Linked DNA regions of Struthio camelus. The protein of the gene in region 2 interacts with the protein of the main gene of each other region in a biochemical or structural test. Links are inferred from orthologs where the notes say so. Each region holds a gene or a part of one and is shown on either strand. Other genes may lie near its edges.

Region 1 (7,249 bases), on a different chromosome or scaffold from region 2:
TTGTGACGTTCTAACACCACTAAGTCATACCTCTAAAGCAAGTCATCTCTTGAGCTTACAGATTCATTCATTCACGCTGGTTGCTTAAACCCTACGTTCCTAAGTAACTAATCTGAGGACAGAAAATCTGAAAACTAGGCGTAAATCTGCATCCTCTGTTTCAAACCCTTAGCAGGACCTATACTGTGACCTTTTTAACCGAATTTGGGGAAGTACTGAAAACAGAGCGCTCCGCAGAGACAGGGAAAGCTACTGCTCTCCTACTGGGCTAGGCCACAGTTTGCACATAACTAACAAACAGGCTGAAGAGCACAGGGCTGCTAGTCAACCCGAGAGCCAGGCCATCTGCCAGCAGTCGGTCAAAAAGAGGAATGCCAACCTCATTTCAAGCAGTTGGCTAGATTCTGCATTTCATTATGGTCAGAATATACACACGATTCCCTATGCTCAATAGGCCGTAGCTAGACAATACCAAGCCTGCACACAGATCAGAGGGAAAAGGTCTTTTCCTAAAGCCATTTACTTGTGTACATTTGTTACTATGCAAAAAGAAAAGGGGATCTTCTGATTCTACAGCTATTTCAGCCTTCTATGGCTCGTCCCTTTTCTCTGACCTATCTTTCTCTCTTCCTTTTCCTTTCCTGATTTTTTAAATTACCAGTAGCAGTGGAATTTACTCATTCCTTTCCATCTAAGGCAACCAGCAACAGAATATTTAACTCTAATGTTAGAGTTAGCAGGATAGCAAAGGTCAAAAAAATTCTCATCCAAGAGTCTCTCCTAAAGACTGAAGCAGGTTAAGTTTTCACCTCTGCAGCTATGACATTTCAAAACAGTACTCCGCACATTTTTGAGACTACAATAGCTAGTCATTCAAATCCTAAACTGTATGCGCATCTAGCGACCTAGGGCGAGCACAGTACAGGAGCTGTTCATCATAACACAACTAATCCAGGATTCAAAAGCTATAGATTGCCTGCAGACAATATATAAAGCACATACAGAAATAAACAACCCACACCAACCTATCATAGACAATAATCCTGTAAGAGTCTAGAGGTGGATTCCCTCCTCCATGAAAACTGGAGTTTTTAGGTCTTTTTTGTCTGCTGCCCTTCCTCCCCTGCTCTTTCCTAGGGCAGCAGAAAGCATTCCCATGCCATTACACATCTTGGAAATAAGTTGTGTGAATTGCTCCTTTTTTTTTTTCTCCTCTTCAAAAAGTGGCTGAAGAAAAAATGCCAAGGGACTTATGTGCCAGCTTACAGGACCGTGGATCTCTTGGTTGTGTTCACAAGAATTATTAAAAACATGGGAGGGGGGAGGGGGAACCACACACACGGACATCAGCTTCGTGGCCAAGTTCTTACCACTTCATGATGAATACCAGTTCCACTGTATTATGAAACAGTGTTCTCTCTCATACCTGAGATATATTCAGCATTGTATGCTGTGCACCAAGGCAGCTGGATGAGCATCAAATTAATTCAGTCTATAAGATTTGTCTTCATTCTTTCTACTGCTTACCATTCTGAGCAGTAAGCATAATTTAGTCTTTGCCTCACACAGGCTAAATGCTACTCCTGCCTTGTTTTTCCGTCATCTCCTCTATTCACCTATTATATAACTTTAGTCAAAGCAAAGATAACACTGGATTGCCTTTAAAGCATATTTAGCATATTCTGTGTTCTAGCGTTTTACAACGGTTGCCAACTTTCAGTGTGCTCAACCAACAAGAGCTTCACAGTGTTATAAATTATTTGTGGCATTCATTCACTCGAATGAGAAACAATGGTGCTATTATTTCCAATGAAGACTAATGAACCTTAGTGGGATAACTTAGTAACTCTTACAAAAGTACTGATCACCAATTCGAGAGCTTCAGGTCACACTTCTGCGAACAGAGCAGGAGTTAGCAGCCCAGCACAAGCATGCACGCTGGCTACAGGACCAAGCCACTGGAGAAGACTCACGTTGGCGCTGCAGTGCAGCTAACAGTATCCGCCTTGAGTGCCTCCAGTCCAAGTCACTCAAGTCTTAAGGTGATAAAGCACTCAGAGGGTCAGCCAGAAGTACCCCGAAGTTGACAGTTCTTACAGAGCTTGGTAAGTAAGTCAAAGTAAGGCACTGAACACCCAGCGCTAACACACCCATCATCTAAAAGCCGGTAACTCGGAGGGCGCTTAACAGCCGCCAGGTTAGCCTAACTCACAGTAGCAGGAACGCCTTCCTCCGCACGCCTCAGGACGCGGGTCAAGCGCTCGCACAGCGCAGCCTTCCTCGCACAAGCGCTAAAACCAGGCAGCCTCCCCCCGCCGCGGGCCCCGCAGCTCTGCGGCCGCCAGGCTCTCCCCCGCCGCGGCCGCGGCCGGCCGGCCTACAGGCGCCGGCCTCCGCGCGTTAAGCGCCGCCGCGGTACCCGGGCCTCGGCCGGCGCTGCGCGGCGCGGCCCTCCCCGGCAGCCGGGCCGGGCCGGACCAGGCCGGCAGAAGCAGCGCAGGCCGCGGCCCCCCGCGGGCGGGCGCGGAGCCTGCGGCGGCGGCGGCGCAGGCCCGGCCCCGCGCTCCCATTCATTCCCGCCGCGGCGCCCAGGCCGCGCCCCGGCCCGGCGGCCGCGGTGCCCGCCGCAGCATGGCGGGGGTACCGAGGAGGACCGCCCGGACCGGACCGGACCGAACGGGACCGGACCGGACCGGCCCGGCGGCCGCGCCCCTCCCCCCGCGCGGCCCCGCTCCCGGTCAGCGGAAGCGGCGCTCCCTGCCCTGCCGGCGGTGCGGGCCCCAGCCCGGCCCCCCTCCCTCCCGCGGAGCGGCGGCGGTGACGGCGGCGGCGGCACCTTGATGATCCTGCGGGGCAGCCCGGCCATCTTGTCGCGTCGCGGTGCGGTGCGGTGCAGGCTCCGTGAGTCTCGCCTCCGCTCGGGGCTCACGCGCAGCCGGAAGTAGCCCGCGCCGCGCTTCCGGTGGCGCCGCCCTCCGCCGGCGCCGCCCGCGGCACGCCGGGCAACGTAGGCCGAGCCGCGCCGGGCCGGGCCGGGGCCCTGCCCGCCGCCCGCAGCTGCCGCCGGGCGCCGGCGGGAGGCAGCGGGCCATCAGCGCCGCCGCCGGGCGTCCGTTAGCAACGGGCGGCGCGAGGCGGGTGTAAGATGGCGGGGGAGGGCGAGGCGGGCAGCAGACGTGTGGGGCTGCCGAGCCGGCCCCGGTTACGGGGAAGCAGCCCCGCGGGAGAGCCGTGTGCCGTCGGCTGCAGCCTCAGGGGCCGCAGCCACCTGCCGGCGGTCGCTCGGCACGGACCGGGTCGAGGCTTCATCAGCGTGTGCCGGGCGCCAGCACGGTGCCCGCTTCCTGCTCTTAGGCCCTAAGCGTGTCCCTAAAGTCCGCAGTCACCAAGGCATCTTAGAACATCATGACTTTGTGAATTTCCTTCTTTTTGGCCGAAAGATTCCTTGTGTAAAGTTAGAGGTCGTTTAGGTAAGTGTAAGTATCACGCGAGCATCCCGTGACACACTGCTAGAGCTGTGCAGCAGTAGTAGTAGCATCTAGTACCTCACATCATTATTGCTGCTGTACTGATGATGGGAAATAGGGACAATGCCGTTTGCCATAGGTTGCCAAGCAGGCTAGCAGCACAGCCAGGAATCGGACCGGGATACGTGATTCCCTGTCAAGTGTTTTCTCCTGGCTTCGAAACAGGACTTGTAGATGGCCTATGCCATTTCCATATGCTCTAGTAGAGTGGCAAGCGCTCTGACACTGAAATCTGGAATGTGTAATTGCTGACAGGCTGTTATCACAGAGACTACAGACATTTTATAGCTTTTTTTTTTGGCAGACATATTACATGGTGGTTATGATAACAGATGTCAGAAGAGTGGTGTGTCTTCCTTCACCCTCCCCACAATATTTCCCAACAACAGACCTAGTTTTTCTTCTTTGTCCTGCTCTCTGAGCCATTGGCACTACAGAAGCCAACTAACAAGTATTGAGTTGTGCTTCACTATTCGGTATCCTCAACTGGTTGTACACACCAGTAATTTCAAATTTCATGCAAATTCATTAAAGATATGTACCTCTGTAAACTCTTGTATACATCCTCAGCCCTTTAAACACTTCATTGCTTTCCTAACTTTAATGCTGTAACTTTCTCAGAAGTCAGGAAAATCAACATCGAGGTGACATGCAACACAAGTGCATGAAAACATGTTTGCAGAATGTGGGTTAAAGAACCTCCCTCATTCTACAGTGGGTAGGGTGAGTTTGTTTGCATGTGTTATTGGCAAATTCGCTGTGTTTAAATGTGGTCCTTTAGCACATCCTCATCTTGCTGCTTATACATTGAACTCAAATTTTTTTAAGTGTGGATTTTTCATTTGCTTAATTATTACAACCTGTTGCTACTACATAAGTATGACTAAACTCGATTGCTTAGATATTTTTATGTAATCATCCCCTTTACAAGACTTATCATCTGACCTGAAAAGGTGAAACATTGATCTCTAGAGAAAAAATTTGTAAGGTGGAGCCTGTTTTATCGACTGGATATTAACCCAGTTTTTCCCTAGCTTCACAGGTATGTAAGTATCTGTAGCATACTTGGTGCTTTATAATAAACAGTTATAATATAGGCTGCGTGGGTTCTCCTCTTGATGATGCACAGTGTCTTATTGTTTGATTCTGGTGGTTAGCGGTATTGGTGATTTATTGATTGATGGCTGTTTTTTTATTCAAATAGGAGAAATCACACACACAGATGTGAAGTCTCTCCCAAGTGACTGTACTGCAGCTTCCCACCTCTTTGAAATGTAACAGGGACAACGAGTCTAAAAGAAATTTGTGCTATGCAGAATGTGCTTGATATGGGCAAATGTAAACCTCAGGCATTTTAAACTTGAAATTTCCAGCCTGGGCTCATGTGGCAGGTTTAGAACCCGTGTGGTACTAAAACTGCTATCCAGCAATCCTTATTTCATTGAAAAATTGTGGGGGCTATATTTAGTACCCATTTCTGGTACGCAGATCTTCACAGATGCAGGTTTACTTTGCAGTAAATTTTTAAAGGCCTAAACATAGTAATGTCTTCTCAAAATGTCTGTCACTTGGGAGAGCAGTGGCAGTGTAAATGAATTAAAAAAATGTAGTGACAAGCACAATGTAGTGTTGACCAGCATATAAATAAGTGCTTACCACTGTGCAGCATGAGGACGGGTTAAAGCATCTAATTGCTTTTGAGGAATGGGATTACAGCTAACTTTGCTTAGGGAGTCAGGAGAGAAAGCGGAGGGTGGAGGGTTATGGAAAAGATAGAATTAACATTCATATAATCTTGAGGCTTCATGAATAATTGAAAATATTTCTAATCATGTTGCTATGACACCCAGTAATAACTAGGAGTCTCAATTCTGACTTAGCCAGTATGCTGACATATGCAGGAGGAACATATATATCTAAGTTATTTATAATGTTCTCTCCACGTTATCTGAACTTCACATAATACTGTAGGCAGTTTAGGAACCAAAACCAGAAAGACTTCTGCCCTACCCTAGTAACCCTTGTACATACTTGCCAGCATCAACCAAATCTGAAAATACAGGTGGAGAGGCTGATTCCTTGTGAATTTTATGAAAATAGGCAGAGAGAGGAAATGGAAGTTGGTAGTCCCATAGGGGGAAAGACTCCATGACACCAAGTCTTATTAGACATCAGAGAATCTTCAGTGGGCCATAGCTTCAAGACCAAAGCCATTAAAAAACAAACTCTGTTGTTACTCTGCTTGCCGAATTACTTCTTTTTCTTTGTTTCTGCCTCCTATTTGTCATTGTTTTCTTTTATCCTTCTCCTGGAATACTGACCATTAAAGAGCTGGCGTTAGCGGAGGAAAAAACACAGGCCAAAAGGTGAATTCAGGCTCAGTGTGCGAATAAAGTGCAACCTACTTTCTTGAAAGTGCTGCAGCTTCTGCTCTGTGAACCTTGCTCTTCATCTGCTGGGGGCAGCGAGAGAGTGGAGCATAGTTGGCTCAGACAAATGCTGAGGAACACTGTCTTCAGTGTTCCCTTACAGGTGTTGTAGACCAAGAATCTCACTTCAGTCTGGGGCTGCAACAAGTCTGTCTGGCAAGCTATTGTGTTTTGATAGTTTTCATTGCTCAATAAGTGGCCTGTCACATGCTGGAAAATTTGCAGCTTTCATGACTCCTCTCTTTCTGCCTCATTTTAGAAAGAGGTTTTTCTAGTCCACTTGCTCAGAGATGACAGTGAACAAAAATCTTGTTTTCTACTCTCCTATCTACCAAAATTTAGGTCCTTCCCATAAGTCATTCTAGCTCCCTAGAAGAGTTGCTGCAGAGATCCCTGAGTATCCATATGGGTGCCAAAAAAGCCATCCAGACTGGCTACTCCAGAATCCTGGCTTTAGACTTTGGCTCGTTGCGCTGCTCCCGTACCAAGTGATATCTTCCATGACGGGATACAGTAAAAAATATCCTTCTTTTATAATCTTCTAAAATTCCCAAAGGAATCCCAACCTAAACCTCTAAATCAGAGCTGGAACCCAAGACATGTAAGTGCCCAGGGAGCTTTGTCCCTTATACTAGCCATGTTCCACTGAGATTCTCGCATCTTCCAGTTGTTTGCCACCCCAGTGTCCTTCCAAACATAGGATTTTCCACTCAGCCATTATTGCCATTGTAATCTGGACTGCAGCCTACACAGCTCTGATCTGCTTAGCCTCCATTTGGCATGTCCCTTGGAAGGCTTCCTTGGAGAAGCGCCCCTGGTGACCCAGTGCAGTATGGCTCTGCTCTTCACTTCCATTGGTAGAACGATACTCCAACACTCCCGCTCTGGAGTTCAAGATTATCACTAAAATGTGTTTATTCTTCCCTGCCAGATCATATATTTTGAGCAGTATGGCACAGAGGTTTCTTATCTTATTTCTTTTTTCTTCAAGAAAGACTTTGCAAAGCCACATATAGCAGTACCATTAAAACTACCTAAAGAAAGTTAGAAGTTTCTCGGTAGTCATGGGGCCCGAAAGGAGAAAAGGAGGGGAAAAAAAGTAGATCTGAAAAACTAGATTTCCACAGTGTTATCTGTGTAGTTTGTCAAAACGTGCAAAGTATTTCAACCATCCTTTTTTGCTAAAATAAAGATTTGATGGGAAAAAAAATGATCCGCTTTCATCCAGAGTATTATAATGAAGTCTTGCATCCTCATTTAGACAGCTGCCTTCCCTGACTCAACCTGGGATTT
Region 2 (7,158 bases):
CAGCAGCTGACAACCAGGTGACAGTCGGCGACTCTTCTGTTGTTGGGGGGGCGCAGCACCCCGGGGGGTTGACACAGGCGACACCAGCTGACGCCGAGCGACACCGGTTGACACCGCACGGCAAGCGGGTGACAACCGCGGGGCGCGCGCGACGCAGGGGGCGGCGGGGGCCCGGGGCACCCCCGGGGGTGGCAGCGGGCGGGGCGGGGCGGCACTCACGTTGGCGGGGGTGGCGCTGGGTGACGCGGGCGGGACGCTGGGGACGGCGGCGCGGTTGGAGCCCGTCGGCGGCTCAGACCCGGACACGCGGCGCTTCTTCGACAGCGGGGAGCTGGACATCTGCGGGGCGGGTGACACCGGGTGACGCCGGCGGCACCGGCTGACGCCAGGAGGGACTTGTGGGGGGGGGGAGGTGACGCTATGGGGGGCGCAGGGCGGCAGCGGGAGGGATGTTGGGGGACGCCGGTGATGGGGGGGCAGAGAGCGGCGCCGGGTGACAGTGGGTGACACCGGGTGGAGCTGGAGGAGATGTAGGGTGACACCGGTGACACCCAGGTGACGCCTGGGAGACACGAGGTGACACCACGAGGATGGAGGGTGACGCCAGGGAGACACCGGGGGCCAGCGAGGAGGGTGTACGGCTGTACCGCGGACACCGGGTGACAACCCTGAGGCACCGGGTGACACCCAGCAGGCACCGGGTGACATGTGGGAGATGTAGGGTGAAACCGGGGGGGTGCAGGGTGCCACCAGCAACACCCGGGGGAGGGGATCGGTTGACACTAGGAGTATCGGGTGATGCTCAGCAGGGTGTAGTGTGACACCAAGTACCACGGGGGGGGGGGGGGGAAACACCAGGTGACACGTGGGAGATGTAGGGTGACACCAGGTGACACCGGGGGGGGGGGCAGGGTACCACCAGCAACACCCGGCGGAAAGAAAACGGTGACACCGGGGGTACCGGGTGACGGCTGGTGGGGTGTAGGGTGACACCAGGTGCCACGGGGGGGGCCACCGGCTGACACCCCGTGGTACTGGTGACACCGGGAGACACCACGTGGTGCCGGGTGACATTGGCGCCGCACACTGGTTGGGGGTGGGGGCTTCCCCGCGTGGGGGGCGGGGCCTTCCCGGTGGGGGGCGGGGCTTCCTGGTGCTGAGGGGGAGGGGGGGAACCGGTACGGGGGGGGGGTTACCGGTACCGGGGGGGGGGGGGGGTTACCAGTACCGGGGGGGGGATTACCGGCGCCAGGGGGGGGATTACCGGCGCCGGGGGGGGGGGGGGAATAACCGGCACCGGGGGGGGGGGAATAACCGGCGCCGGGGGGGGGGGATAACCGGCGCCGGGGGGGGGGGGGAATAACCGGCGCCGGGGGGGGGGGCGGAATAACCGGCGCCGGGGGGGGGGGCGGAATAACCGGCGCCGGGGGGGGGGCGGAATAACCGGCGCCGGGGGGGGGGCGGAATAACCGGCGCCGGGGGGGGGGGTTACCGGCACCGGGGGGGGGGGGTTACCGGCACCGGGGGGGGGGGGTTACCGGCGCCGGGGGGGGGGGTTACCGGCGCCGGGGGGGGGGGGTTACCGGCGCCGGGGGGGGGGTTACCGGCGCCGGGGGGGGGGATAACCGGCACCGGGGGGGGGATAACCGGCACCGGGGGGCGGATAACCGGCACCGGGGGGGGGTTACCGGCGCCGGGGGGGGGGGGTTACCGGTACCGGGGGGCGGATAACCGGTACCGGAGGGGGGTTACCGGCGCCGGGGGGGGGTTACCGGCACCGGGGGGCGGATAACCGGCACCGGGGGGTGGATAACCGGCAGCGGAGGGGGGTTACCGGCGCCGGGGGGGGGGGTTACCGGTACCGGGGGGCGGATAACCGGTACCGGAGGGGGGTTACCGGCGCCGGGGGGGGTTACCGGCACCGGGGGGCGGATAACCGGCACCGGGGGGTGGATAACCGGCAGCGGAGGGGGGTTACCGGCGCCGGGGGGGGGGGTTACCGGTACCGGGGGGGGGATAACCGGTACCGGAGGGGGGTTACCGGCGCCGGGGGGGGTTACCGGCACCGGGGGGGGTTACTGGTACTGGAGGGGGGTTACCGGCGCCGGGGGGGGGTTACCGGTACCGGAGGGGGGGGTTACCGGTACCAGGGGGGGGGTTACCGGCACCGGGGGGGGGGGTTACCGGTACCGGGGGGGGGGGTTACCGGTACCGGGGGGCGGATAACCGGCACCGGAGGGGGGTTACCGGTACCGGGGGGCGGATAACCGGCACCGGGGGGCGGATAACCGGCACCGGGGGGGGTTACCGGCACCGGGGGGGGGATAACCGGCACCGGGGGGCGGATAACCGGCACCGGGGGGGGGTTACCGGCACCGGGGGGGGGTTACCGGCACCGGGGGGGGGTTACCGGTACCGGGGGGCGGATAACCGGTACCGGGGGGGGGTTACCGGTACCGGGGGGGGGTTACCGGCACCGGGGGGCGGATAACCGGCACCGGGGGGCGGATAACCGGCACCGGGGGGGGGATAACCGGCACCGGGGGGCGGATAACCGGCACCGGGGGGGGGTTACCGGCACCGGGGGGGGGTTACCGGCACCGGGGGGCGGATAACCGGTACCGGGGGGCGGATAACCGGTACCGGGGGGCGGATAACCGGTACCGGAGGGGGGTTACCGGCACCGGGGGGCGGATAACCGGCACCGGGGGGCGGATAACCGGCACCGGGGGGCGGATAACCGGTACCGGGGGGGGGTTACTGGTACCGGGGGGGGGGTTACCGGCACCGGAGGGGGGGTTACCGGCACCGGAGGGGGGGTTACCGGCACCGGGGGGGGGTTACTGGTACCGGGGGGCGGATAACCGGCACCGGAGGGGGGTTACCGGTACCGGGGGGGGGTTACCGGCACCGGGGGGGCATTAACCGGCGCCGGGGGGTGCCGGGGCCGGGGGCGGCGGGGAGGGGGCGGCGAGGGGCCCGTACCAATGAGGCTGTCCAGGCCCGCCGCCGGGTCCCGCCCGCTCCGCTCGGCTCCTCCGCGACAAGATGGCGGCGGCGGCGGGGCCGGAACAAAACCGCCCTCCCTTTCCCCTTCCTCCTCCTCCCCCCGCCCCTCCCCGCCCCCGCCGCCCTCCCATTGGCCGCCGCCGCCGCCGCGCCCGCGTCTCATTGGCCGCCGCCGCCGCCGGGCACGCCCCCCCTCCCCCGCGCTCCCGCCCCTCCCTTCCTTCCCCGGCCGCCGCCGAGTGCCCGGATGTTGCGGGCTCTTCCCCCCCTCCCTCCGCCGGCCCGGGGGAAGCTCCGCCCCTTGCGCATTACGCGTGCGCGCGCCGCCAAGCCGGGGGGAGGGGGCGGGGCCTCGTGACGCAGCACCGCGCTCCCCGCGCGCACATGGCGGCGGCGGCGGGGCGCTACGGGGGCCCGTAGGGGCCACGCGGCCCATAGGGGCCTATGGGGGGGGCCTATAGGGGCCTATAGGGGTTGTGGGGCCCCATAGGGGGCCTATAGGGGCTGGGGGGCCTATAGGGGGCCATGGGGACCATGGGAAGGCTATAGGGGCCTATAGGGGTTGTGGGGCCCCATAGGGGGCCTATAGGGGCTGGGGGGGCTAGAGGGGGTCATAGGGGCCTATAGGGGTTGTGGGGCCCCATAGGGGGCCTATAGGGGCTGGGGGGGCTAGAGGGGGTCATAGTGGCCATGGGGAGGCTATAGGGGCCTATAGGGGTTGTGGGGCTCCATAGGGGGCCTATAGGAGCTAGGGGGGCTAGAGGGGGTCATAGGGGCCACGGGGGGCTATGGGGCCTATAGGGGTTGTGGGGCCCCATAGGGGGCCTATAGGGGCTGGGGGGGCTAGAGGGGGTCATAGGAGCTATAGGGATTGTGGGGCCCCATAGGGGGCCTATAGGGGCTGGGGGGCCTATAGGGGGTCATAGGGGCTATAGGGGCCACGGGGGGCTATGGGGCCTATAGGGGTTGTGGGGCCCCATAGGGGGCCTATAGGGGCTGGGGGGGCTAGAGGGGGTCATAGGGGCTATAGGGGCCACGGGGGGCTATGGGGCCTATAGGCATTGTGGGGCCCCATAGGGGGCCTATAGGGGCTGGGGGGCCTATAGGGGGTCATGGGGGCCATGGGGGGCTATAGGGGCCTATAAGGGTTGTGGGGCCCCATAGGGGGCCTATAGGGTCTGGGGGGGCTAGAGGGGCCTATAGGGGTTGTGGGGCCCCATAGGGGCCCTGGGGGCCTATAGGAGCTGGGGGGGCTATAGGGAGTCATAGGGGCTATAGGGGTTTTGGGGTCTCATAGGGGCCATATGAGCCTATAGGGGCTTTAGGGTCCGGGGGAGCTATAGGGGATGGGGAAATATAGAGGATTGTGAGAACTTACAAGGCCTGATCTGTTGGGCAGACCTTATAGGTGCTACAGGTAGTATATAAACTGTAACAGTTTATGAAGTCCTATATGAATATACTAACTATGGTATGCACAAGTGCTATAGGTGCTTTGGGGGCCATTGAGGCTATAGGGGCTGTGGGGGACTCTAGGGGCTGGGGGGCCTATAGGGGCCCTGGGGGGGGGCTTTAGGGGCCACGGGGGCTATAGGGGCTGCAGGCACTATGGGAACTACAGAGGCCTCTGAGGGCTGGGGGGGCCCTATAGGGGCTGGGGTGGGCTGCGGGGGGCACTGGGGACCGTGGGGAGCTATGGCAGCTATAGGAGCTGCAGAGCCTATAGGGTCCAGTGAGGCTTTGCCAATGCAAGTGGCATAAAGACTGTAGGTGCCTATAGAAACTTCAGACATATGGTACCTCTGGAAGCAAAGGTACCTATAGGGGCTGTAGGTGCTGCAAGAGCTGCAGTGATTCATCGCAACGAGGCGGCTGGGAAGCTGTGTGGGACCTATAGGGGCTGCAGGGACCTATAGGGGTTTGAAGGACTGTGGGGTCCACAGAGGCCGTGGGGGCCGTAGCGGCTACGGGGGGTTGTGGGGCTGTGCCTATAGGGGGTGCGGGAACTATGGGGGGCTATAGGGGCTGCAAGGGGCCTATAGGGTCTGCGAGGGACAACGGGGGGCTATAGGGGCTGCGGGAACTATGGGGGGCCATAGGGGGCTATAGAGGCTGCGAGGGGCCTATGGGGGCTGCGGGAACTATGGGGGGCCATAGGGGGCTATAGGGGCTGCAAGGGGCCTATAGGGGCTGCGGGGGCCAACGGGGGACTATAGGGGCTGCGGGAACTATGGGGGGCCATAGGGGGGGCTGTGAGGGGCCTATAGGGGCTGCGGGAACTATGGGGGGCCATAGGGGGCTATAGGGGCTGCGAGGGGCCTATAGGGGCTGCGGGAACTATGGGGGGCCATAGGGGGCTATAGGGGCTGCGAGGGGCCTATAGGGGCTGCGGGAACTATGGGGGGCCATAGGGGGCTATAGGGGCTGCAAGGGGCCTATAGGGGCTGCGGGGGCCAACGGGGGACTATAGGGGCTGCGGGAACTATGGGGGGCCATAGGGGGCTATAGAGGCTGCGAGGGGCCTATAGGGGCTGCAGGAACTATGGGGGGCCATAGGGGGCTATAGGGCTGCGAGGGGCCTATAGGGGCTGCGGGAACTATGGGGGGCCATAGGGGGCTATAGGGGCTGCGAGGGGCCTATAGGGGCTGCGGGAACTATGGGGGCCATAGGGGGCTATAGGGGCTGCGAGGCACTTATGGGGGCTATAGGGGGCTCTGGGGCGGTTTAGGGGACCGCAGTGGCCGGGGAAGGGGCTATAGGAGCCTATAGGGGGGGCTATAAGGGGCTATAGAGGGGCCGGGGCGGCCCCCGGCGGCGGCTCTAGGACCCGGCGGGCTCCGGGGGAAAAAAAGCGGCCGCGGTGACGTCACCGCGCGCCTCGCCGCGGGGGCTGCTGGGAGCTGTAGTCCGCGCCGCGCGGGGGCCGCCGGGAAGGGGCGGGCGGACCCGGCCCGGCAGCGGCTCAGGCAGCCGCCTTCTGGCGGGAGGGGCCCAGGCGTCCGGGCACCCTCCCCCCCCACCACCCCTAAAGGGGCCCAGGCGTCCGGGTGAACCCCAAAAGGGGCCCAGGCATCCGGGTGACCCTCCAAGGGGCCCAGGCGTCCGGGGACCCCCAAAACGGGGGCCCAGGCATCCGGGTGACCTTCCCAAAAGGGGCCCAGGCGTCCGGGTGACCCCTAAGAGGGACCCAGGCATCCGGGTGAACCCCCCCCAAGAGGGACCCAGGCATCCGGGTGAACCCCCCCCAAGAGGGACCCAGGTGTCCGGGTGAACCCCCCCCCAAGAGGGACCCAGGTGTCCGGGTGAACCCCCCACCAGGGGCCCAGGCATCTGGTGAACCCCCCGCCCCCAACCAGGGGCCCAGGCATCCGGGCATTCCTTCCCCTCTTCCCCCCCCCCCCCAAAAAAGAAGTGGGCCCAGGCGTCCGGGCAGCGTCTCAAAGCGGGCCCAGGCGTCCGGGCGTTTATTATTCCTCTTCCCCTCTCCAAAACGCAGGAACGGGCCCAGGCGTCCGGGCCGTTATCAACGGTCCTAGGCGGTCGGTCGTAGCGCCGAAGGGGCCCAGGCGTCCGGGTCAGTCGCCGGCGGGGGGCAGGGGCAGCCGCGCCGGGTCGTAGTAGTCGGGCGTCACCAGCGGGAGCCCCTGGGCCTCGCGCGCCCGGATCTGCCGCTCGGCCTCCCGCCGCGCCCACTGCCGCAGCCTGCCGGGGGTGGGGGGGGGGCCCAGGCGTCCGGGTGACCCTCCGAGGGGTCCAGGCGTCCGGGTGACCCCCACCGCCCAAAAGGGACCCAAGCGTCTGGGTGACCCCCCCCCCAAAAGGGACCCAGGCGTCCGGAAACCCCACAAAGGGGCCCAGGCGTCCGGGTGAGCCCTCTCAAAAGGGGCCCAGGTGTCCGGGTGAGCCTCCAAGGGGCCCAGGCGTCCGGGGGAACCCCCCCCCCAAAAGGGACCCAGGTCTCCCAGTGAACCTCTGAGGGGCCCAGGCGTCCGGGTGAGCCCTCCCAAAAGGGGCCCAGGCATCCGGGTGAACCTCCAAGGGGCCCAGGCGTCCGGGTGAACCCCCTCCGAAAGGCGCCCATGCCAAAAGGGGACCCAGGCGTCCCGGGCGCCCACGTCAAAAGGGGGCCCAGGCGTCCGGGAACTACC
Region 3 (8,007 bases), on a different chromosome or scaffold from region 2:
GAAAAAGATACAATTCTAAGGATTAAGAGTCATATTGTTCAAGAGAATTACAGCAAGGGAAGTTGGAATGCATCATTAATTTATGGGAAGATAGTGGTAAGAAGGAAGCCATAGGGTAAGCCTGTAAGTTCACTACCCTTATGTCATAGAAATGAGCACTTGAGTTTCCTCTGTTACATTTTCTCTCATTTGAATACAGTTCCTCTTTTGTTCCCACTCAGAGTTTCCACCTAGCTTTATTCAAACAGCTGTGTCATAAGTCCTGAGCTAGTGAGCTAGTCATAACTTTTCCTTGCTGCCTGACATTGTATAATAGGGTCACAAAGAAAGGACAAAGTTTGTCATCACAAGTCTGCGCGAGGTATCAGTTTGTTTCAGGCATTCCTGCTTGCGAGCGTGACATTAGCAGCGAGCTGACTTTAGGAGACCCAAACAGGTGATTGTTTCTTTTCTGCTCTTCACAAAAGGCCTGATGCAAAACTCACTGGAGCTGGTGGAGAGGCTCACAGAGATGTAAGGGGCTTTGGCTCAGGCCCAAACAGACCAGCCAGCAATAATGCTGAGAATGTATCTGGAGTTGAGATAGTACAAAGGGACTAATCCTAGTCACCTTCCTTTAACAGCAGGCTCAGTGTGATTTGAATTGGCTAGCTTCTGCCGTGAATTAAGCTCAAAGCCCCAAAGGCAACTCGATTCTAGTCATCTAGCCTTGCAGCCTCCTCCAAATTTAATCCAGAGGGAAAATTGACTAATCCTATTCAGTTGCTACACTGAGCTAGTGCCATGGATTAAAAAAACTTGGGGCACAGGGAGACTGAGTAATCTGGGTCAGTTTTCCTTTGCAAGTCCTTTGCAGAACTTGACAAAGAAAAGGGGGGGGGGGGGACTGTTGAGAAGGAAAGGTCACTTGCTAAAGTGAACGCACACTTTACCAAAAAAAAAAAAAAAAAAGGCAGCAGGCAATCAGTGAGGTTTTGTCAAAATTCCCAAGATGGAAAGAGGTTGGATTAGGGGAGCTAGTCTTCCTTTTTTTCTGGAGTAAGGACCATGTCCTCGACTCTTTTCCGGTTCTTCAGTGTCCACGCAGGACTGAGAGGACAATCATGGGCTGGAGCAAGGCAAGCCGCAAAAATGCTTCTGGAGAGTGGATGGCACATTAGTTGGCTTCTTGGCTGCAGTCAAGAGAACAGCACGTTGGCTGATCTCTGAGGTGAGTCATGAAATGGAAGTTGCCCCTGTAACAGCTGCTCAAGTAATGACATTAGTAGGTGCTTTCAGAGAATGCATTTTTAGGTAAGCTTCAAAGTAAATAACCACTGCTGCTGGTCATCATTTTACTGTGAACAGGGTTACCCACGACTGTGTGCTGCAACAAAAGGTTAGTTTATTGATAACCCCCTATGAAGGTTATTAACATAAAAAAAGGAAAAAATGTGTGTGGGATTTTGTAATAATCTTTGCATTTTCTCTGCCCTCTATTACAGAAGTGGAGGGCTTTCATTATTAATCTGTTGTCTCATTTGACTTTGGTGCATGTTTCCTGTGATGACAGGAATGGACTGGAGGTTTGTTTTTAGTGAAAGTGAAGAATTTCTGTTTTTAAAAATTTGTTCCATAAGCAGTGAACTTTGTGAAGCCTGATCACCTGCTTTGTGTCCTCTTGTCTCCTGCGTTTGCTTGATACGTACCACTACATTCCCAGTTCCATCCTCCACTGCCTTCACAGGCTAGTTTGGAGAATGCTGACAGGCTGGCTGATTGCTGTTGGATATAAAGTAGCTGAATTCTGCGCCCCCCCCCCCTTCAGTGAGGAGCACTAAGTGATACAGCTCTCCCTCCTTTATCTAAATGCCAGTTTTCATGAAATTTATTTGCCTTTGAGGCCTTTGTTTAATGGCAGATATGCCAAAGCTCCAAAGTTATTGGGAGGAAGGATGACCACGAGTTCAAAAGCTTTGTTCCCATAGTTGAAAGTAGAAAGGTGGGCTCTGCTAGCAAGCTGCTTCTGGAGGCCAATTCACCACGGTCTACGTACTGCAGGTAACAAAGACTGAAGAGGAGGGTTAGCAAAAAACAACAACAACAGGAAATGTGAAATTGTAGTGGAATTCCTTATTTTGTCAGAAAGGACTCTTACAATGTCATTGGTGTATCCTCCTAATATACTGTGCTATTTAACTACACAGGAGAGTGGGCAGCAAGTTTGGGGAGAAGCTTTGGGAAACCCACGTGAAATGAGGTGCTGCTGAGTGGTGCAGAAAGAGAGAGGGGAAAGAGAAAGTGGAGAGGGAAACAGCACATGCACTGTACCAAGGAAATGGAGGGAAAGGTGACAAAAGGAAACACTGTCCTCACGTGGGTGTCCCTTCCAGGGGCGCCTCTGACCCAAGGATCACTGGATTGAAATGGTGAAAGGTCAGTGTCACGACCACAATGATTAGTTACAAACCTGTGAAGCCACGGCCTCGTGGAGGAGGGGCTCAACAGCCCCAGGCAGCTGTGCTTTCAGCTGGCCCAACACCCCTTTTCTTGAGGAAAATCCCCCAAAGTGCCCCCAAAAGAAGCCACGGGCGTTCTGCATCTGACCCAACCCAACATTTAGGTTTTCATCCCCGTTCAAGTCTGTGACCTCGCAAAAGGAGCAGGTGCCCCAGAAGAGGTCCACCGCCAGGGTCAGCTTCACATCGCCCGCCCCACCAGGGCGTCCTAGGGCAGCCCCCGCAGCAGAGCTGCCCCGGCCATTTCAACTTTGTGTTAACGCCGCAGGCTCAACGAGGCGGGATGCCCGTGCCGGCGAGCGGAGGGCTGGAGGGCTGGGTCTCGGGGGAGCCTGAGGGCAGCACCCCGAGGAGGCACCTTGCCATGGGGGGCTCCGACAAGCCGGGCGGCAGGGGGACCCACAGCGCGGGGGGCTCCTCAGGGCGCCCAACGGTCGCCCCCCCCGCCGCGCGCTGCCCCGTTAACGGCCGCCGCCCGCTGGGGCCATCTTGACGCGAGGGGGCAGGGTGCAGCACCTCCCTGCCGGCGGGGCCCGGAGCCGGCGACCGCGGCGCTGTCCCCGGGCTGGGCGGGCAGCACCGTGTCACCCAGCCGGGGTCATGCGGTGAAAGCCCGAGACGGGAAGGCTGGGTTTTCAAAAGTAGTCAGCGCCCGGCTCCCTTCCTCCTTCCTCTCCCCCCCCCCGCCCGGAGGGGCTCTAACCAGAGGTGTCCCTCGCCCCACGCCGCGCGGGGGGGGGTCGCGGTGTCCCTCCGTGCCCTGCGGGCTACGGTTATATAATGTAACCCCTTAGACTCCTGAGGCGTGACGTCGTCATGTCGCTGGCCGTGCTTTTGTCCGAATATCGCGCATTTCAGCCTGCAGATCACTTTGGAGGTCCTGGAAACCGAAAGAACGATGACAAATACGAAGCCCTATTCATTACGATGCTGGACGGTGGAGATGGTCATTATATTTTCGGCCACTAAAGATATCAAGTAATTCGATATGTGATCTCTTGATATGCTATGGAAACTGATGGCACTGAGCCAAATTTATCCCGGAAAAGTCGATAGGAATGCTCATTCCTATTGTCCCTTCAGGAATAGGTCCAGCACTTCAATTAAGAGCTATGGCAACCTACAAGGACTACAGGGAAAGGTGACCGAGTGTACTGTTCTTCTGAACATGTGGTAGGTATGGTGGGTCACTCTTGCCAAATTACTTTTTTTTCGCTTCGTGGGCAGAGAGTGAGCGAGCGACAGCAAAGATTTGGGGGAGAAGAGTAAAAAGCCTCGAAAATCCAGTACAACAGCACTCCAGTCGACTGAATGCAGCGCCCGTCATGCACACGGGCTCCCAATTTGGGGACTTAAAAAAAAAAATGAAAAAAAGAAAAAATCCCTATTACTTCTACCTTGGGAAAACCGAAGCAGCGTTTTTTCTTTTCTGTGGCTGCCAAGCCCCGAGCCCAGGATTTTGTTTTCTCTCCCAGCATGCGTTGATGACATCACGAAGTGCCCCTTCTTTGTGTGTCAGTGATGTCACCAAGTGCAGTGTGGGGGACAATGGAATCCTGAACTCCGGGCGAAGGCAAGTGGGAAGCGGCTGCTCCTGCTGTTGATCCAGGGCTGATCCAGGAGAGGGAAGGGAAGAAACAGCTGCTGCTTTAGGGCTGGAACAGGTGAGAGGTGGAAAAGCTGCTGAGGGGATCCTTTTTGGCTTGGTTGTGGTGGGGGGTTTGGACTGGGCTTCTTTCTTTCTTTCTTTCTTTCTTTCTCTTTTTTATTGCTTTCCAACTGAGACAGGTGAGAAGTTGCTGCTGCTGCTGGAGGGACAAAGCAGATGAGGAAAGGGAGAAGCTTTGGGGCTGAAACAGTTGCAAGAACAAGGGGAAAACAACCAGCCTCCCCCCCCCACACACCCTGATAATCGTCTCTCAGCCTTAAAAAAGCAGCACCAGGAGCTTGTCCCCTCTCCCTGCCACCTGCCTCGAGCTTGTCCCCTTGGGGCTTTCGCCCTGAAGCAGAAAGCACAGCCGGGGGCGGGGGGGGGAGGGTGTTTATTCCTCACCCCCCCTTCACACCTTCGCAGATTACTTTCCAGGGGGTCTCCATTACAAACTCACGTCCCTGCCCCCCTCCATTGCCCCTTTCCTCCATCGCGGCGGGGGGGTTGCGGCTGCTGGGATCCCCCCGCCAGCCCCGGAGCCGGGGCTCGGCCGCCGCCGCCGCCGCTCGGTTCCCCCTCGGCCCGGCCCGGCCCGACCCGGCTCCGTGCGAGGCCGCGGCGGATCGCGCCCCCCCCCCGCCGCCCACCGAGCCCCCGCTCGGTGTTGGGGGGGAAGGCAGCCAGGGAAGCCATTGCCTGTTTAATAGTTGCTGTTGCAGCACTTCCGCTTCTCTCCCAGCGAGAGAGACACGAGTGGCCAGGCCCAGCCGCACCGAGGAGGAGCAGCCAGACACAAAGGGAGAGGTAGGGGCACGGGGGACCCCCCGCTGCCCTCCCCGCCGGCCCGGCCGGCCCCCGGGGGCAGGGGCTGGCCCGGCGATGGGCAGGGAGGCAGGCAGGCAGGCGGCGGGCCAGAGGGATCCTGCCCGGGGCTGTCAGGTACCGCTGTCCCCCCGGCCCCGGCGCTGCCCGGCCCTGCGGGGCCCGCGGCCGGGGGGGCAGCGCGGCGGCAGCAGCCCCCGGCCGCCGGCTCCCTCCCCGCCGCCGCCCGGGTCGGCCCGTGTGCCGCCCCCCCCCCCCCCCCGCGCCCGGCCGCGGCTCGGCCGCCGGCCCCGCAGCTGCCCCCTCTGCCCGCACACGCTCCCGAGGCGCCGGCGCACCTCCCTGCCCCAGCACTTTGTGCCCCCTCTCGGGTAGGGACCTGCTTTCGGCCGCCCGCCGCGCTCGCCCTCCGGCCCTGTCCCCCGGGGGCACCGAGGTGCCCTCCGGACCCGGCTGTCCTCGCCCCGCTGCTCTCCTCGCTGCCCCCTGCCTCCCCCGGCCCTCCCCAGGCCCTCTGCTCTCACCCCTTGTAGGCCCTGGCCCTTCTGCTCTCCTCCCCCACCAGCACAGACCCTTTGCTCCCTTTCCCCTTTGCTGGCGTGCCCCCCCGGTGCCCTGGGCCTCAGTGGGTCCCCTCTGCGTACTCCAGCCCCTATTTAGCTGTTCCTTTTTTTTTTTCTCCCACCCTTCCCCCCTCTCCCCACATGCTCCTGACACCAGATCCAGCAGGCACAGGTTTCTTCCCCTGCAGGTTACAGATCCTCCTTTGGGGTGTCCCCCTGTTGCTGGTGATGCCCCACTTTTATTTTAGTGCTGGCAGCAGTGTCCTTCTTGTCCCTTCCCACCTTCCCCGCGTGCTTGCAGGGGACGCAAGAGATCGAAGCTGCTCTGTTTTTATTTCCTGCACCCCTAGGCTGGATAGTGGTGGGTGGTGATGGCTCTTCTTGTGTGTGCAGTTTCAGGGAAGATTAAAAGGAACTGCTTTGGGCTTCCCTGATCCTTGCAGTCCAGTCCCTTCTCCTCTTACTCCTCGTTTGCTTTCTGAGAGTCCCTTTAAAAGTCCCTTCCTCCTCAGTGTTGCTAGTGCAGGGGAGGCTACTGCTCCTCCTGCTTGGACTGTAGGACCTGAAGAGGCGAGGGAGACAAGAGGACCCTTTAAAAGGAACATGACCCAGACACAGAGCAAGATTGTCAGCTGCCTTTCTCTGTGTGTGTTTGTGTTCACTGTTTGTTCCCCACGCCCCATGGTGTCTCCTCTCCAGGTTGGGGTGTGTGGTGGGGGGGTCGCTATGTCGGATGACGATTCAAGGGCCAGCACCAGCTCCTCCTCATCTTCATCCTCCAACCAACAGACAGAGAAAGAGGCAAGCACACCTAAGAAGAAGGAAAGCAAAGTCAGCATGAGTAAAAACTCTAAGCTGCTATCTACCAGTGCCAAGAGGTGAGGCTGCAGCTAGATTTTTTTTTTTTTACTACTTCACTCTATCTTTTCTCCTTCCTCATTTTCTTTTGCTCCTTTTTCTTGCTGCTCCCTTGTTGCTCCCATTCCTCATCTCTAGCACTTATGTTCAACCTTTCCACAGAAAGCTGCCATCATCTCACTTTTTTCAGCATCTCTGTGCAGTAAGGAGTGTCTGCCTGACATTGCTGTTCTGTGATCTCTCTCCTTGCTTCTTCTTCCATTCCATCCCAAATATTTTTCTTTCTTTTTCTCCAGGCTGTTTTTCTATCCTCCAATTATTTTCACTGTCTTCTCCCTTTTCCTTAATAACATTGGATATAGGGATGTTTTAGGAATGACGTTTGGGAGCTTAATTCCTTTTCTGCTACTGGAAGCTATGTGGTCTTGAGTAGCATATTTAATTTCTATATCAGTTTCCCTCTCTGTAGAAAGGGGTTGATATATAATGGCTTTTTAGTTCCAGAACTACTCTGAGGATTAATTAATGTTTGTGAAGAATTTTGAGTTCTCTTAATGAAAGAAAGTGTAGATGAGTGCAAGTGGTGTAGTATAGTGCCAAATCTTTTCCACCAAATACATTACTATTTTCCTATCTGCTCATCACTTGTATTAATTTTTTTCTGTATAGCTGTACATTGACTAGAATAAATAATCCACAACACGTCCCCCTGCGGACATTCTGTTCCAAAATGTTTTTTTCTTACAAGGCAAGATGGCTTTCTTGAGGGGAAAATATTACTTTTATTCCAGAATAATGTCTATATTGGGGAGAGATGCCTGCATAGAATGCCTGCATAGTAGTAATTCCAGAACAGCTACATCAGTCAGTTTTCTTCACCTGGACAGACTGTTGGAGTCATTCAGTTAAAACGTTATTGCCCTTTCTTATTTACTCTGTGGTGCAATTTAGCACCATCCTGTTCCAGAAAGCTAAGCTGGCAAATGAAGTTCTCAAGCAAACTTTCAGTATTTCAATAAGAGTTAACAGTCTGTCTCACTGAAAAGCTTTGTCAAGCAGCACAGAAAGGTTATATCTGTAGATGTCAAAAATGACTGGGGTTTTATGCAAATGCTCTGCCATCACAACTAAGAGTTCTCTGTGGCTTTGTAGAATTTAGGCAGTTTGGTTATTCCACATCTCCATTCAGCATGTTTCCTTGGGAAACTTGTATAGATAGTGGCAAGTGGTGTTTACATGTGGTTCCCTTAGCTATTTTGAAAATAAGATAGTTTTAAAAGCCTGCTAATTGTGAAGTGTCTAATACAAAAAGACTAGGGTTCTTATTGCGTGTGACAGCTAGAAGAGAGGCAGAAGATGCTGGTTGAGTTTAAAGGGGAAGAGAGGCAGACTGAGTGCTGGGTGGGGAAATTTGGAGGGGAAGCTTGAGTGACAGTAATGGGACTCCAGGGAAGGGGATGATAGCTGGTTGGGCGTTTTGTGGCAAAAGCAGTGTGATGCTATGTGAGCCCAGAATAGGCTGGTGAGGGAGGGCAGGGTGTTGTCTGAATGTGGTGAAGAGAGGAGCGGCTGAAGTCTTGAGGGAAGGAACATGGTTGTTGTATGGTTTTTTGGA
Region 4 (7,745 bases), on a different chromosome or scaffold from region 2:
CGTCTTTCTGAGATCTCTTAAAAGAGAAACTGTTGTCTTTTGGGATTCCCAATCACTATTAAAGAACAAGGTCAATTAGCAATTAGAAACAGAGCTCTGAACAATTCTCAGTCCTTTCCATCGCAAGTCTGGTCTGCGTTGTAACAAACTTTCATGAGAGAGAAAAGCAGAAACAGGACCAAGCTGCTCCTCCTCCATCACATACCTACATGCCAGGTCCCACCATTCAGCAACTGTATCACCACCTAGCTGCACAGAAAACAGTTCTTCACCAAATGAATCACTCAAGCCCCAAAATTAAAACCCTAACGTTCAATTACGTGCTGATAGTGCTCACCAGAAGGAAGGAATCAAAACAGACAGAGCTGCTGGAGTTGCATTTACTGCAATAACATTCTGAAACATCATTGCTGATGGGGCCTGCAGCATCTGTCAGCAAACTCTCCATAGACCACAGCAAGATGATTCAAGAACAAAGAGCCTTGTGGCTGCAGAACCTCTGCTGCCTTTTGCACACAATGGGCTCACAGGGAGAACAGTTCTGCAGGAGCCTTCATCCCATCAAAGACCCGATGTAGCACTCGCCCTAGGAGCAAAGCGCCTTTCTGGATTGCTGCAGGAGGCAGATCTGAAAGGCACGACACGTCTGCTCACTTTACGCGGCAGTAAGGCTGCAAGGTGAAATAACAAAAAGCAAAGCACAGCCCAACACTGATACAGGAGCACATACTGCTATTCTGACAACATCGCTTTCTTACTCAGGATGCTGGCTGGAAAACATATGCTGTGAGAGGAAGGTCCTGTCCTGAGCTCAGGTTTGCCACTTTCTCACCAAGTGACACATCACGTTCTCCATCCCATCAACAAGATTTTAAGTTGTTTTAAGGAGAGCTATCCTGGCTGGCTGCAAAACCTGCATGAGCAGCTCAGAGGAAAAATCCATCAAACACATAAGCCCAAAGAAACATATAAGCCTCAGTTTCCCACTGGTTTTATCCACTCTTCCTAGCCCCAGGAGATCACTCTGTGCCTCTAAGTTTCAGGCGAAAAGCTCTCCTCTCCCTGTGGCAAAGCTACATAACAATAACTGTACAAAACTACCACTTTTCTAAGATAAGGCTGATGTAGGAATTAACATACGTTAATTTCCCCTTGAACTGTTTCAGCTGAGTTTAGGAAACTTGCAGGAGGGCTGACCTTGGCTCTCAGTCTGAGAAGCTGCTCGTTGCCCTGCTCATGGAGTGATGGAGTCAGAGCAAACGGCAGCAGACACGACTAGCTCAGCCAGCGCCTTGGGTTTGTGCCAAAGCCTCGATGTGCCAACATCCTTCCCAACCTGCTCTCTTCCACGTTCTCTCTGTGGCCATGTGCAAGGAGTGAAGCTCATTTCCCATCTCCGAGGTGGTGTTCACACCTGCTTCTAATTTTTAGCATTACCAGGCAAACAAGAATTAAGGGATTAGACCAGCACAGAAACAAACAATATTCTCTAATCCAGTTCAGCTCTTCCAGCCAAATTGCGCTATTCACACCCTCCTAAATGGCCCAAATAGGTGACTTGCTCAGCCCATAATCAACAGCTTTACCAGCCTCCTAAAAGATGATCTGACTTGCCCTCTTCCCAAAACACCACCATCAGCATTACTGAGACAAACCCAATTGCGCTCCCAAGCCACGATGCAGCGCACTGCAACTTCCCAATAACCTAAACCCGCAAACTCACAGGCTTGCAAGAGCCCAGCAGCGCAGCACACAGCCAAGCATGGGGATTTGGGCTTTGCAGGAAGCTCTGTGCTGAGCCTTGGTTCCGGCATTGAGGCTTCCAGGGAGGAGACCATGGTACCACCCTGCCGTGGCACCACCCCTTTGTTGCAGAAGAACAGGAAAAACAAGGTGACTTTCCCATGTGCTCAGCACCCAGCCAGCCAGCGTTTTTGGGTAACAAATCACAGCAAAGGCGCTAAAACAGTCCCTGGCATGCCATTGCAGGGGCACAGCAGCCCGCCTGCATCAGCTGGCCTTATGGCTCTGCAGACTATGGGGCTGCCGCAAGCCCGGAGCCCCGCAACCTCATATAGCTTATGGGGCAGCCCCCAGCTCACAGCCCCACACAGCCTATGGGGCCACCCTAAGCCTGGGGCCCTGCAGAGCCTATGGGGCTGCCCCAAGCACAGGGCCCCATGGGCCCCCACAGCTCAGGGGGCAAACCTGAACTCAGGCGCCACACGTTACGTGTGGCCACTCCGAGCCCAGGGTGTCACAGCCCCACACAGCCCTCGGCGCTGCCCGAAGCGTGGGGCCTCTGCGCGGAGCCACCCCGGGGGCATCCCTGCCCTGCGGGAATGGAGCCACCCGTGCTGCTCCAGCCGGGCCGCTCGGACCATTCCACCTGCCAGAGGTGGGGGGAGCGCTACCTGCAGGGTGGACAGGGCAGTGCCATGGGGACACACCAGTATCGGGACTGGGAGATACTGGGTGAGGGGGGCCATTGGGTCTGGGGGCTCAGAGGGCTTGGAGGTGATGGGAGACCCCAGGGGGCAGGTGAGGGGCAGCTCTGGGGGATCCCAGTGCAGGGGACTGGGGGTAATGGGTGGTACTGGTGCAGGGGCCAGGAGTAGTGGGGGGTCCCACACTGGTGAGCGGGGCTGTGCTGGGCCACGCTGGTGAGGGGATGAGCTGGGACCCAGGGCGGCGGTGGGAGTTAACGAGGAGGGATTGGGTGCGCAGGCCCACTGGTGGCATCAGAGACGAGGCTCGTTACACCAGAGGCGATGCTGTCGACAACGAGGCTGTTACACCGGTGGGGACAGTCAGAAATGAGGCTGCTACACCAGAGGCAACACCGCACCAGGAGCCCGCGGGGGCCCTCAGAAACAGGCTGCCTCGTCGGGAGGAAGGGGAAGACCCCCTGGGCCGGGGGTGATGGAGGGGAAGGTGGAGCAGATGTCGTCAGTCACCTTCAGTTAGGATTTATCCAGTTGTTCTTCTAACTCGCAGCGAACCAGCGGCAGGAGGCTGTTCGCTCAGCAAGAGCGGGCCGACCCCCGGCCGTGCCTGCGTTACCTCTGTTAACTGAAAATCAGCCAACTCCGAGGAAAACGTGCCTTGCACTGGACGTAGCCACACAGTTTGGGAGAGGCGCGCTGCGACACAGAGCAGGGAACAGCCCGAATCGCAAGGCTGAGCCTTACCTTGCGGGTTACCGGCAGCCGCCCGACCCGCTGGGATGGGAAACCCCACCAGGACTGATGGCACCTCTCCCGCCGGGAAGTGTTTCCCTCCGTACGCAGAGGTCCACTGGAGGGATGTGGCGGTCACCGGAGCATCACCGTCTGTATCCAGCCTCGCCGGTCCTGCAAGCATTGGGAAATTCATCAGCCAGGTTTAAACATGCCTAAATATCGGTGCATAAACGCACGCATAGAGGTGTTTTGAGCAGCTCAAGGCTTTTGCGCAATCGCTGATAGAGGAGAAGGATGGCAGAGCGCTCCCAGCCCTCCCGCCGGCTGCCTCCCCGAGCCCACGGAGCAAGATCGGCCGCGTACAAAGCGGGGCCTACGGGCTCCTCTAGGAAGGAAAGCTTCAACGTTAAAAAAAAAAAATTCCCTCTGTGGACGCTCTCTGTCCTCCAGTTTATTTAGTTAAATCCACTGCCCACTGAGGAAGGGACAGCGCTGCAGTTATAAAGCTTTATAGAGGCGCGTGTCGGCCAGCTGGCTTTGCAAGTGGCACCCGAAACCGCGTGCTTGGGCTTCTGAAGCTTAATTACTGTCACCATGAAGCCGTTCGATTGTCTTCTAATTTGACCGGCTTTCAAACAATCCCTTACCTGGCCCTGAAACAGAATGCATTTCTGTGTTAACGGGGTTACATAAACCCAGGCTGGGTACTGGGTCAGACCCGAGGCTGCCTTTGCTCTAACACCTCCAAGCTACTCATCTCGCGGCGGCAGGCGAAGGCGACGCAACGCTGACGGGCGGCGTCTGCCAAGAGAAAACCCTCCAGTCGCCTCGCCCGGGGAAGCGGACGCGCGAGGGCGTCGGGAACGGGGAGGGGGGGAAGAAGGGGTCGGGCAGAGCGGTCACCCAAGGCCGCCGCCAGGCCGGGAGCTGCCCGGGCCTCGGGGCACCTTTCTCCTCACGGCCGGATTAACCCCCCTCCCCCGCCCCGGTGGACGCTTACCTCCTCCCCGGGGGGCCGGCGGCGGGAGCTTACGCAACGCCGGCCGCTCATCGCGGCAGAGGAGGGGCCTCCGGGCGGGGCGGGGCGCGCTCGGCTGGCCACCGGGGCCGAAGCGCTCCTTCGGTCTGCGGGTGCTTGGGGTGCTTTCTCGCTGCGTTTATGGGGCTGACTGGGGCGGGCAGGGTGAGGGGCCGCCGCTCCCGCTCCCCCACTGTCCCACACGCCCCCGCGGCCGCTCCCGCTCCCCCACTGTCCCACACGCCCCCGCGGCCGCCCCTACCCTCCCTTCGCCCCCTGCCCGGCTCTCTCACAGGCCCCCGCGGTCGCCCCCACTCCCGTCCCGCCCCCTCCGCGGCCCGGCCCGGCCCTGGGGGCGTGGCTAGCGCGCCCGCCTGCGCGGCTCCTCCAATGGCAGCGCGCCTTCCCTTCGAATTCGAGCGACCGCCTCGGGGGGGGGCGAGGTTTTCTGGTGGCCAATCAGCGCCGTGAAAGGGGGCGGGGGGGGTCCCGCCGTTGCCAGGCAGCGGGGGGCGGGGGGTGGAGAGTCTGGCGTTCCCGCGCGCTGCCGCCGCCGCCGCCGCCTGCTGCGAGGGTGAGGGGGGGCCCGGCCGGGAGGGGGGGGTTGTTTAGGCTGAGGGGGGCTCCCAGGCCGTGGGGTGCTGGTTCGGCCGAGGGGGGAGAAGGTGACTCCTGGCAGCGTTAAGGCGGGGGTGCGGGGGGTCGGTAGCCCCCAGGGGGCCTCCGGGTTCCTTGAAGGGGGGGGAAGGCCCTGGGGGAAGGGGGTGTCGCCGCCCGGAGGGGCATCGCTGTCCCTGAGGCACCTCTGGGGGAATTGGGGGGGGGGTCCCTTCACGGAGGAAGGGGCAGAGCCGCCCCTTCGGGGTGGGGGGTGGAGCCGGGGGGCACCGGTGGGGGCCGAGGGGGGTGGTCGGCCCTGGCCGGACGGTGGGTGCCCCGTGGGCAATAATTCGTCGCCCACCCCCGGGGAGCGAGGGGCGCCCCAGGGCTGGACAGTCCCTCTCGGGGTGTCAAGTGCAGTCATGGACTAGGAGGGTCTGTTAGGCTCAGCTGGGCCCTGGGGCGATGGGACTGGTTTGGAAGGGGGGTTTGGTTCCCCCCCTCCAGCTGAGTGCCAGGAAGAGCACTAGGAGCAGGCTCGGCCTCGCAGAGGGGTGAGAGTCTGGGATTCGCATTAAGGCAACTGCTAAAGCGTGGATAAATTTGAAACCTGAGTTAATTCTCCGTAGCTAAAAACGTCTCAATACGAGATGCTGTTCATGAAGGGGCAGCAGCGCTGCCAGCTATAAAATTCAGTCTCTTGTGATTTCAGCACAATGCAAAGAGCATCGCGACTGAAGAGGGAGCTCTCTCTCCTGACCACAGAGCCACCTCCAGGCATTACCTGCTGGCAAAACGAAAACCAGCTAGATGATCTACGAGCTCGTATGTACCTTTCTGGTGGGGCCTTTGAGTAAGGGATGCGCTAGAATTTACTGCTAGACTGGATTTGTTGGGGGGGGGGGGGGGGCGGCATAAGCTTTATAGGCTGCATGGAGTTGTGGAGTTCTTGGGAAATGCTTAGGCTCTTTTTTAGCTTTCCTTTTAATATAATTTAGCCTATGGCTCTTAGGAACAGTTCATATTCTGGCTCTGAGTTTGAGAAGGAACATGAAAAGAAGCAGTACTGGATGTTTTTACCCTTCCTTATGCTAACTGTTTTCCTACCTTTATGCAAAATGCCACCTGTTGGTGCTGAGCTTCTGTTCTCTATTGTTTCTTCTAGCTATTGTTGTATTATGACTTGCAGACTGGAACCTGATCTTTCTCTCCTTCAAAAGTTGAAACTGGCACTTGCTTTAAAGCGTTGCAGCAAACAGGGAGAAGATATCTAGAGTTGGCCACAGTGTGAAGACAAAAGCTCAGCCAGCAGGAGTTAGTGAAACGTCACATCTTCTCCCAGCCTTTCACTTGCTTGCACAGAGCATAACTCAGCTGAGCGCTAGTAATGCAGACTGTATGTGGCAATCCCATCCTTGCTTGATTTTTCTTTTATCTTGTCCTCCCCCATTCCTTTTAATTTAGCTTTTATAATTAAATATTGTTTGGACCCTCTGTAGGTCAGGCTACCGTTTTGACTACATGGAGCTGAGAGTGGTTTCGTGATAAGGTGGCAGCTTTTTTGGTGGATCTCAGCAGCGTTACAGTTGCGTAACTGGGTGTTATGTGGAAATTGTTGGACAAGTTCAAGTGTTTTGAATGTAATCCTTGTGTTTTAATATTGTTTTTTAAAGAGATTTTAGGAAGTGCAGAGACGCCATATGAGAAGGGAATATTCAACCTGGAAATACTTGTTCCTGAAAGGTAAGTGGGCAGTGACATGAAGTTACTCTAGTCAAGGAAGTAGAGTAGTGTTTTTCCTTCAAATATAAGTTAACTCATGCAAGATGGTTGATAGAAGTATGCCAAAAAGCAGAATTAGCTTATTGGAGATAGAGTACTAGTGCTTAGATCTTTCCTTAAGCCTCCTCACAAAGAATGTGTTGATTAGCTTTAGGTGAGGCCCTTCATCTATGGAATGTAATTTTTATTTCAGTTTGCTAATATGCTTATTTCACTTTGGAAGCACCAAGGTGTGTGATTAACAATCTAAAAATGTTTTGATAAGATCTCTAGCTTACTGTATCATTTCAAAGCTTTCTGAAAAGTAGCTCAGTCACGAGTAGAAAACCTCCTATCACATTTGCCTCTTTGTGGAGAGCTATCTACCTAGAAAGTGCTAGACAGAGACAGCTGAAAGCATCAAAGGCAGAGTGGTCAGGCATAGCATTGCTTTCTCCAAAAACTTGTGGGAAAGGACACCAGTTAGTAAATGGCTGGGAGAAGAAAATGATGGCATTACTTGGGTGATGTGGCAAATGGAATACAAATATAAAAAGAACCTTTTTTTTTTTTTTCTATCCTTTATAGATACCCATTTGAGCCCCCAAAGATTCGCTTTCTGACCCCTATCTATCATCCTAACATTGACTCCGCTGGAAGGATTTGCCTGGATGTTCTTAAATTACCACCAAAGGTAAGATAGTGCTACTTGTGCAAGGGTAAGTGAGCCTGAAGAGGATAATTAACTCCTTATCTTTTTGCCTGTAAAAGCCTTACTAAATGTCTGTCTGCTACTGACTTATGTACGTAGGAACACACGAGTAAAGTTTGTGTGTGGCATCTCCTTTGTTTAGAGACTGGAACACAGGCACCTTGTTCCATGTAAGCTTCCAAGGCTTTAAGGATTGGAGCCAAAAGGTGTTAGGAGGCCTCTGAAAAAACAGCCTGGATATCCCAATACTGACACAGTACAGATGTGTAGGACACAACCTGTGGTTGTCAGTTGGGCTTCCTTGGAGAGGCTGCACCCTAGGTGTTGAGAATAGATCAGGTGTTTTCCATGTGGGTTTAACTGTTCTCTGCTTCCCACAGGTGGCTCCCACCTCTGTTGTAGTGTGTGGAGGCTGGTAAATGCTGTAAATCCTGAGGTTTCTCTAGGTAGCCTGTGTGCGGGTTTCTTTTTA

Evidence for each region.
Region 1: of the proteins of UBA1 (region 2) and UBE2N, one has a biochemical effect on the other in vitro, tested with the Homo sapiens proteins (10 studies listed by BioGRID, with this or other methods). The link is inferred for Struthio camelus from reciprocal best matches to the Homo sapiens genes UBA1 and UBE2N.
Region 3: of the proteins of UBA1 (region 2) and ubiquitin-conjugating enzyme E2 E1, one has a biochemical effect on the other in vitro, tested with the Homo sapiens proteins (9 studies listed by BioGRID, with this or other methods). The link is inferred for Struthio camelus from reciprocal best matches to the Homo sapiens genes UBA1 and UBE2E1.
Region 4: of the proteins of UBA1 (region 2) and UBE2T, one has a biochemical effect on the other in vitro, tested with the Homo sapiens proteins (4 studies listed by BioGRID, with this or other methods). The link is inferred for Struthio camelus from reciprocal best matches to the Homo sapiens genes UBA1 and UBE2T.

Annotation. Positions count from the first base shown.
Region 1 is NC_090942.1:51,333,112-51,340,360, forward strand, and holds the start of UBE2N (ubiquitin-conjugating enzyme E2 N), read right to left. Parts: upstream 3,004-7,249; 5' UTR 2,867-3,003; coding exon 2,837-2,866; intron 1-2,836. UniProt on the Homo sapiens protein: The UBE2V1-UBE2N and UBE2V2-UBE2N heterodimers catalyze the synthesis of non-canonical 'Lys-63'-linked polyubiquitin chains. This type of polyubiquitination does not lead to protein degradation by the proteasome.
Region 2 is NC_090979.1:729,726-736,883, forward strand, and holds the start of UBA1 (ubiquitin-like modifier-activating enzyme 1), read right to left. Parts: upstream 3,005-7,158; 5' UTR 2,986-3,004; intron 340-2,985; coding exon 220-339; intron 1-219. Other genes in the region: NDUFB11 (NADH dehydrogenase [ubiquinone] 1 beta subcomplex subunit 11, mitochondrial), read right to left, coding at 6,586-6,712. UniProt on the Homo sapiens protein: Catalyzes the first step in ubiquitin conjugation to mark cellular proteins for degradation through the ubiquitin-proteasome system.
Region 3 is NC_090943.1:44,085,966-44,093,972, forward strand, and holds the start of ubiquitin-conjugating enzyme E2 E1, read left to right. Parts: upstream 1-5,007; 5' UTR 5,008-5,028; coding exon 5,029-5,088; intron 5,089-5,250; exon of another isoform or gene 5,251-5,342; intron 5,343-6,233; coding exon 6,234-6,412; intron 6,413-8,007. UniProt on the Homo sapiens protein: Accepts ubiquitin from the E1 complex and catalyzes its covalent attachment to other proteins. Catalyzes the covalent attachment of ISG15 to other proteins. Mediates the selective degradation of short-lived and abnormal proteins.
Region 4 is NC_090965.1:3,944,277-3,952,021, forward strand, and holds the start of UBE2T (ubiquitin-conjugating enzyme E2 T), read left to right. Parts: upstream 1-4,732; 5' UTR 4,733-4,774; intron 4,775-5,512; 5' UTR 5,513-5,516; coding exon 5,517-5,625; intron 5,626-6,473; coding exon 6,474-6,543; intron 6,544-7,149; coding exon 7,150-7,255; intron 7,256-7,745. UniProt on the Homo sapiens protein: Accepts ubiquitin from the E1 complex and catalyzes its covalent attachment to other proteins. Catalyzes monoubiquitination. Involved in mitomycin-C (MMC)-induced DNA repair.